2 linked regions of the Alligator mississippiensis genome follow. The protein of the gene in region 1 purifies or fractionates together with the protein of each later gene. This does not show direct contact. Links are inferred from orthologs where the notes say so. Each region holds a gene or a part of one and is shown on either strand. Other genes may lie near its edges.

Region 1 (3,749 bases):
ACCGTCCTGGAACTTCTGTACAGTTCGCACTTGGATCCACCTAACTAGGCATCTAAGAGTAAGATGCAAATTGTGGGTGAACTGAGTTAGACCCAATGGCCATTTTTAACGTGATCTACCCCAGTTGGCCAAATGATCTGCTGGATCTTTACAGGTATTGCTCTCGATTCTTCAGTGAGTACTTTGGAATCCTTGAAAGATAGATACAAGTGCTATTGCTGTTTCTATATGCCAGGCTTAATTTTTTTCTAGCAGAACAGCAATTGAATTGAGCACATAGAGGACCAGTTTGGAATAAGTGGTTTGATGAAGGGAGCTTTCTTGTATGGGATATTTTTTCTCTTGAAAAGTTTCCCTTTTCAAATTCCAGTCAGAATTTTAAAATACAAAAGCTCTCAAAAGTTTGAAAGAGATTAACAAAAATTGCACTGAGTATTACACAATGTGAATTTGGAAAAACACAGATAGACTGCTTTTTCAAGAAAGCACAGTGATCATATTTATCACTATTAACATACCTATAAATCTATTAACCTATCTAGCTACTTGTTTTAAATAATGTGCACTTCAGTGCTTCAGTGGGTGTGGTGTTGCATGCTGCCAAATTAAATGTCTGTGCTTCAGAATGTTTAACTTCAGATCTCTGTGCTAGTAAGTTTTTAACCCTAATTTCTCCCTCCCTTCTAGATTTCTACATAGTTTGGAATTAATTTCTAAAGCTCATTTATCCAGCTTCATTGTGCATATAACAGTCACTTCCTTAGCCTTTTATTTACAGATGACATAGCACACATGAACAGTTTGTTTTTTGCTAGCTCTCATTTTACTCAATTATCACATTTTTAAATTTCTTATGTAGTAATGGCAGAAAAGCTCTGGATTACCATTCAGATGCTAGCATGTTTCTTTTAGTAAACACACTTACACACATGCATATTTACAAACATTTGTATGAAGAAGGTAGTTTGCAAATCAGAGAAAAATGTATATAAAAAAGAAACCTTATGATTTCCTTAGTTCTGCTGGAGGATTGAAAGCAACTTGCAGTTGCAAAATATAACTATGTAACTACACTTCCTGTGTATGCATATGGACTTTTGCCAAGATCAAAAGATTCTAAAGAAATGTCATGCATACATTTTTTGCAATACTGCTATAGTGTGCGGCTGTTTGAATCTGATTTCTTCTTTATCTCTTTCTATTGTGCTGGTTTAATTAATTTTGTTATTGCAAACTCTCCTCCTGTAGGTGATCAGATACTCTCACCAATTTCTTTTTCTTTTTTCTTTTTGCCAGTAGCTTACATGCACACATGACAAGAAGCAGGCTGACATCGCTTGACATTTCTCTGCTTCCTCATTTCAATATTAACTGTTTACCAGAAGAGAAACAGGTCTGGGGCTAGGGTGTTTCTCTTTTTTTTTTTTTTTTTTTTTTTTTTTTCTTGTGAGTGAGGATTTTTTTTCCCTCTCTGTTCACAGTAACAGATCATGACACAGAGCTTCCTCAAACTGCCCAATGCTGTTTTTCACCAACTTGAATTTAGAGCAAACAGGAGTGTGGAAGTATTTAACTTTCTGCTGTAGCCGGTGCATGGTAAGGACTGCAAAGCTGAGTGCTGCTGCTAATCTGTTCTCAGAACAAACCAGTTGAAGGAATTTTCCCCCCTCCATAATTCAGTAATAATGACACAGCTGCAGTTTAAAGATGCATTTTGGGTAAGTGTACATTTCCTGTTCTAAACCTTATTTCTACATCTAAGTTTTGTTTTGGATTAATTTACTACTGCTTCATGCTTCAAACTTAGTTTAGCAGCAAAATTAGCTTATACCCGTCCAAAGTTAGACTGTTTGCTACGATAATCATTTGATCTTAGAAAATGTGTCCAATTCTGACTGAACTGCAACTGACATTCTTTATTTCTAAGCTGTGGAATCCAACCGTTTTGAAAGAAAAAAGGACTAGTTTGTCGTGTAGTGTCAAGATCACTTGTTTTTTGGGAGTTTCCTCAGGTTTTCAGGCAGGGTAACTGCAAGCAGGTGAACCGTTACTAATTGTGTTATGAATCCTCTTCTACTTGCTTTCAGAATTTTAGCAGCCTTAGCAGAACCAACCAGGCGCACAGACACCATTACGTCTCACCTATTGCCCGTGTGCGTATAATGCGGTTATATGTAAAAAAGGCATCCATGAGGTACTATAAGTCCCATATTTCTCTAAACCAAAAATAGTTCTGGTTTAAAAATTTGTAGTCAGCTCTCCAAATAAAAACCCAGTAATATTTCTTTTGGGAAGATATATTTTGAGTCTTTCTAGTTGCCTTCTAATATGTGAACCATCACAATATTCCCGTGTATTGCACATAGCAGGGTTTCACCTGCATAAATCTTGGGATGTGTCTGTGGGAGGAAGCAAAACTTCTATCATCCCCTCACCAGACCTGAGGAGAGAGGCCATTAAATTCAGTGCAGCCTCAGTGCTGTATTCCTTTCTGTGTAGCAACTCCCTTTTGATGAAGCGGAAGGGATGGACCAAGGATGGCACTGAGTGGGGAGATAAGAGAAATGTGAGCCAACTTTCTTAGCAGATGACTTCCATTGGAGCAGTGATGCCAAGGAGCAGTAGAGGGGGCATGCAGTAGGCTTTGGAGCTGTTGTTGGAGCACAGACCCTTTGCACAGATGACCTTGCTCCGCGGTGAATGCAAGGAGATCCATACCCCAGACGGGCTGATGTCTAACACCTGTGGCACCTTCTCAGGGCATGGAACCAAATCCTGCTCTGCTTTTAGCGAGTGAAATTCCCTCTGAGCCCCTTCCAGAAGGTTCTTCCCCAGGATGAGGCTTGAACTGCTAAAAGAGAAAGAACCAGATGCTGCAAAAATTAAAGTTCCTATTATAATGTTAATGCAGCTGGGATGCACCAAGGAGACATTTTCTAGTCCTGCTTTTATGTTTAGTTCAGTGAATATATAAGCAGAATATACAGGAAATGTACAGTGCTGCTGGAGGGAGCCTTTGGATTTCCTGACTGTGTTTTAAATTGGGCAACCTTTCATTTTACATTAATGCCTTTTCTTTTGTATTCATTTTCTAAGGGGCTGAGCTTCACTTGGAAAAAATCAGGATAGCTCTACAGACTTTGGTGCAGCTAAACTGATTTATGCCAAATGATGGCCTGGCCCACACCAGTGTTTTATTGTGTTTTTCTCATCTCAATATAACAAGGAAACTCATTGTTGGTATTCATTAAAGTTAGCATACAAATAATCCTAAGCAGGCTTTGAGGTTTGTGATTCCTTAGAGTGAACACACTTTCCTTTTGTTATCATTCAGCAGGAAACAGTTTGTTGCAAGGGGCTTGAGTTAGATAAAAGATATCCATGTGGTTGTACTATGGTGGCTTTATCATCTTAAAACTAATACTGAAAATTTACAGGATATTGCATAATGTAGCAATAAAGTACAACCTCTCCCTAAAATCACAAGGTCAGCAATTATTTTCACACCCATAAGTTGCTGCTGCACCCATTCATAAGGCAAACATATATTTGTTGCATCTGTTTCAATGAGTGATTCAATCTTTTGTGTATATATTGTCCTGACCCAGGGGTGGGCAATTATTTTGGGCAGAGGGCTGCTTACTGAGTTTCGGCAAGCCATTGAGGGCTGCATGACAGGCAGCCCAGGGCAGATTAATATTAATTTTCTAAATGTTTTAGGGGCCCCGCAGGCTGGATAGAATGGCCTG
Region 2 (3,749 bases), on another chromosome or scaffold:
CAATGTGGTATCAATTGAACTTTAATAGTAATCCCTAGACCAGGATGGTCCAACACGGCCCATGGGCCACCATGCGGCCCTGCCAAGGCATTTTCTGAGGCCCACAGTGCTGCAATGGGAAACGAAAGTAAACACTGTTTACTTTTTTCCTGCTCCTTGTCCCTCCCCTGTCACCTCAGCAGCTTCCTAATGGCTGCTGAAGGGCTAGGGAAGGGACAAGGTTCCCACATGCACCGTGTCAGCTTGACATTGCTGACGCGGTGCATGTGGGAAGAGGAGTAGCCATGTGCCTTTCAGGACAGGATGAGCCCAGCCGGAGCAGCAGGGGCTCAGCTGCACTTTCCCCCTTCCTGCGCCAGTCAGTCCCGAGTGGCACATGGCTCCACTGCTGCCTCTGCTGGCTGGTGCTGACCCGGGTGGGTCTGTCCCATCCAGAGCAGCATGCGGCTGAAGCCAGATTCCCCCGTGCTGCTGGGGACGGGAGAAGGCCGGCCAGGTCAGCTCCAGCCAGCAGAAGCTCCAGCAAAGCCGTGTGCCGCTTGGGACTGACTGGCGCAGGCAGGGGGAAAATGCAGCTGAGCCCCTGCTGCTCTGGCTGGGCTCGTCCCGTCCCAAGCGGCACATGGCTCTGCTGCTGCTTCTGCTGGCTGGTGCCAACCTGGCCGGCCTCCTCCCGTCCCCAGCAGCACATGGGAAGCCAGCATGGGGGGCCTCGGCAGGCAGGGTCGTGGCGTGACCTCTGCGGGGCGAGGTGGTGGGAGCCAGTGTTTGCCGAACCCCGCGCTCCAGGCTTGCAGCACTGAGACCACTGAGGCTGCAGGCGGCCAGGCACCATGGTGAGCAGGGCCGCACGGGCAGGCGGGTAAGGGGCTGCGGTGCAGCGGCCATCTCGCTCCAGCCCCCCTCAGGCAGCGCCGGCTCGTGGGGCTGCGCTGCTCGGGGGATGGAGATGTGGAGCTATTTATTTCTCCCCTTCTGTCTTTGGGGCAGTAGCTGGCTGGATGCAGAATGGGTCCCTCCTGCCCCTGCCCACCAGCAGCTACCATGAACCTTGCCATAACAGGCAGGTGCAGTAGGGCTACACAGGCAGGGTCTCTTTGGCCCAGGACAGAGGGTGTTTGAATATGGCTTGCCGGCCCACTGGGTGATAAAAAGTTCATGATCCGGCCCCACATTCAAAAAGGTTGGACACCCCTGCCCTAGACAATATTACAGGTTTTCTCCCCATAATACAACCTGGCAAGTGGCTCCTTAGATGCTACAGCAGTGACCCTCAGGGGTACCAGGACTCAGGTCCTCCACTGGGTGTGTGGGCTCTTAGTTTCTGGTTGCTTCTGCCTCCCCAGAGATACAACACAAAACATACATATTCCTTTGTTTGTTCATTACTTTTTAATTGTTTCATTCCAAATAGTCCAATCCCCTGGCTCTGTGCCAAGCACTTTTTACGTGATTCACCAATCCCCTGGCACTGTGTCAGATATATTCCTTATAGGGAAACTCTTGTGTCTTGCTCACCTAGTGCCCAAGCACAGCACTCGCCTCTCCCAATGCCACAGAAGGCGTTGTGTTCAATTTTGCTGCTTAGCTCTGGGAAGGCCTGGACTATGGCTAAAAAGCCTTAACATAACTCAGTTTGCCTGTGACACCTGGTGAGCTGTGGAATAACCTATCCATTGGCCGGTGTCGGAGAATGCTTCCTATTGTACCCTGGGATTCTGGCTTCAAGATTGTAATTTCTCAGACTTGTACTAATAGTTGATAGCCCATCTCCCGGCCATCTCAGTTTAAAGCCCTATCCAGAAGGTATGCCATTCTAACCAAGAAAAGCTTCTTCCTCTTTGGTGTGAGGTGGATGCCATCTGTTCCCAACAGGCAGTCCCTGATGTGTGTGCCGTGGTTGAAGAAATTGAAGCCCTCGCAGTAGCACCAGAGCCGGAGTCCTCTGTTCATTTATTCTATGCATGTCACTTCCCCCTGCGCTGCCTGGTGGTTTCAGAGCTTCCTGCGGAAGTTCCCTGGGGTGCGGCCAGGCCCAGAGGGACCCGAAGACCAGCTAGGGCCAAGGCTAGAGCCACAATGAGCCGTGGGGGCCGTATCGGGGCCCCAGGACCCCAGGACCATGTCCCCTCCTGTCTCCTCCAGCCCCATGAGAACCAGCAGGTGTTCGAGCTCCTGGGTCGCAAATGCCTGGTGAGGCCTGGGGGGTCTGTGGGTTAGAAGTGAGAGGCACCATGGAAGGGGCGGGGGGCTGTGGGTTGGGAGTGAGAGGCACCACAGGGCTGAGGGTTGGGAGTGACGGACACAACTGGGCGGGGTACAAGTCAGGAGTGAGGGGCATGAGGGGATGGGCTGCGGGTAGGGAGTAAGGAGTGCCATTGTGGGGGCTGAGGGTCAGGAGTGAGAGGCACCACTATGGAGTTACTGGGTACCACTATGGGGGCTGCAGGTCAGTAGTGAGGGACACTGTTGGGGCTGGGAGGGTGCGGGTCAGGGGTGAAGGGCACCACAGGATTGGGGCTGGCTGCAGGTCTAATGCTCACCCCCTGTGGCCTCCCCCACCCTCAGACCCTGGCTACGTCGGTGGCTCAGCTCTTCCTGGCGCTGCCACCTGGGGCCCGGGGCTGGGCCAAGCAGGGCTGTGGTGTCGTTTGCTTCGTCAAGGACAACCCGCGGCGCTCCTATTTCATCCGCCTCTATGACCTGCAGGTTACTGTGGGACCCCATCTCTGGGACATCCTCCCCAGCCCCCACCTTCCCTGACCCCAACCCTGACCCCTTATATTGACAGGGTACCCAGGAATCTGGGACCCCAAACCCCCACCCCCCGACCTCAACCCTGACCCTCTAGTCTAGATGTAAAACCCAAGCGTCCAGGACCCAGACCCCCACTTGCCCAAGCCCCTAGTATGGGTAGAGAACCCAGTTATCTGGCCCCCTAGACTCCTCCCTCCAGTCCTTAGGGTGGGAAGAGAACCCAGGCATCTGGGATCCGGATCAGCCACAACCTCTAGCACAGGCCAAGAACTCAGGTGTCTGGGCCTATAGCCCCAGTCCCTAACCCCTAGGAAACACAGGGAACCCAAGCATCTGGAACTCCAGCCCCTCACCACTTCAATCTTTAGCATGGGCTGAGAACCTAGACATCCAGGAGCCTGGGACTGCCTCCCCCTGCCCTCCCTGACCTCAAACCTTGACCCCTAGGATAGGCAAGGAACTCAGTCTTCTGGGTCTCCCCCCAACCACCCTTTGAAACAGACAGGGAGCCCAGACATCCAGGCTCCCAGCCTCCCCACCCCTCCCCACAACCACAACGCAAGCCAGGGAACCCAAGTATCCAGACTAAGTCCATCCGTCTGTCTATCCACGTAGGGGTCACAGCTGCTGTGGGAGCAGGAGCTCTATGCCCAGATGACCTACATTGCTGCCACTGCATTCTTCCACACCTTCCCGGCTGACGTGAGCATCTCTGGATGCCTGGGTCCCCACCTGGATGCCTGGGTCACATCCCAGTTCTGGAGGGGGGCAGGATGGAGCTGGGAGCCCAGATGCCTGAGTTCTTATCCCAGTTCTAGGAGGGGGCAGGTCTTGGAGGGATTGGATCTTGAACACGTGGGTTCTCAGGAAAGGGTTGGGGGGGAGCAGAGGCTGGGAGCCTGGACACCTGACTTCCCAATCCGTTCTAGGAGGAGGAGTGGGTCTGGGGGGTAGGCTGGAGCTGAAGCCTGAATGCCTGGGTCCTCTGCTGG

What was found. The genes of interacting proteins can lie anywhere in the genome.
Region 2: the proteins of PSTPIP1 (region 1) and WAS purify together in Homo sapiens (affinity purification with western blotting; 3 studies listed by BioGRID and IntAct, with this or other methods). This does not show direct contact. The link is inferred for Alligator mississippiensis from reciprocal best matches to the Homo sapiens genes PSTPIP1 and WAS.

Annotation. Positions count from the first base shown.
Region 1 is NC_081834.1:29,629,550-29,633,298, reverse strand, and holds the start of PSTPIP1 (proline-serine-threonine phosphatase-interacting protein 1), read left to right. Parts: upstream 1-1,232; 5' UTR 1,233-1,685; coding exon 1,686-1,718; intron 1,719-3,749. UniProt on the Homo sapiens protein: Involved in regulation of the actin cytoskeleton. May regulate WAS actin-bundling activity. Bridges the interaction between ABL1 and PTPN18 leading to ABL1 dephosphorylation.
Region 2 is NC_081831.1:28,376,715-28,380,463, reverse strand, and holds the start of WAS (actin nucleation-promoting factor WAS), read left to right. Parts: upstream 1-1,227; 5' UTR 1,228-2,079; coding exon 2,080-2,193; intron 2,194-2,568; coding exon 2,569-2,709; intron 2,710-3,372; coding exon 3,373-3,459; intron 3,460-3,749. UniProt on the Homo sapiens protein: Effector protein for Rho-type GTPases that regulates actin filament reorganization via its interaction with the Arp2/3 complex. Important for efficient actin polymerization. Possible regulator of lymphocyte and platelet function.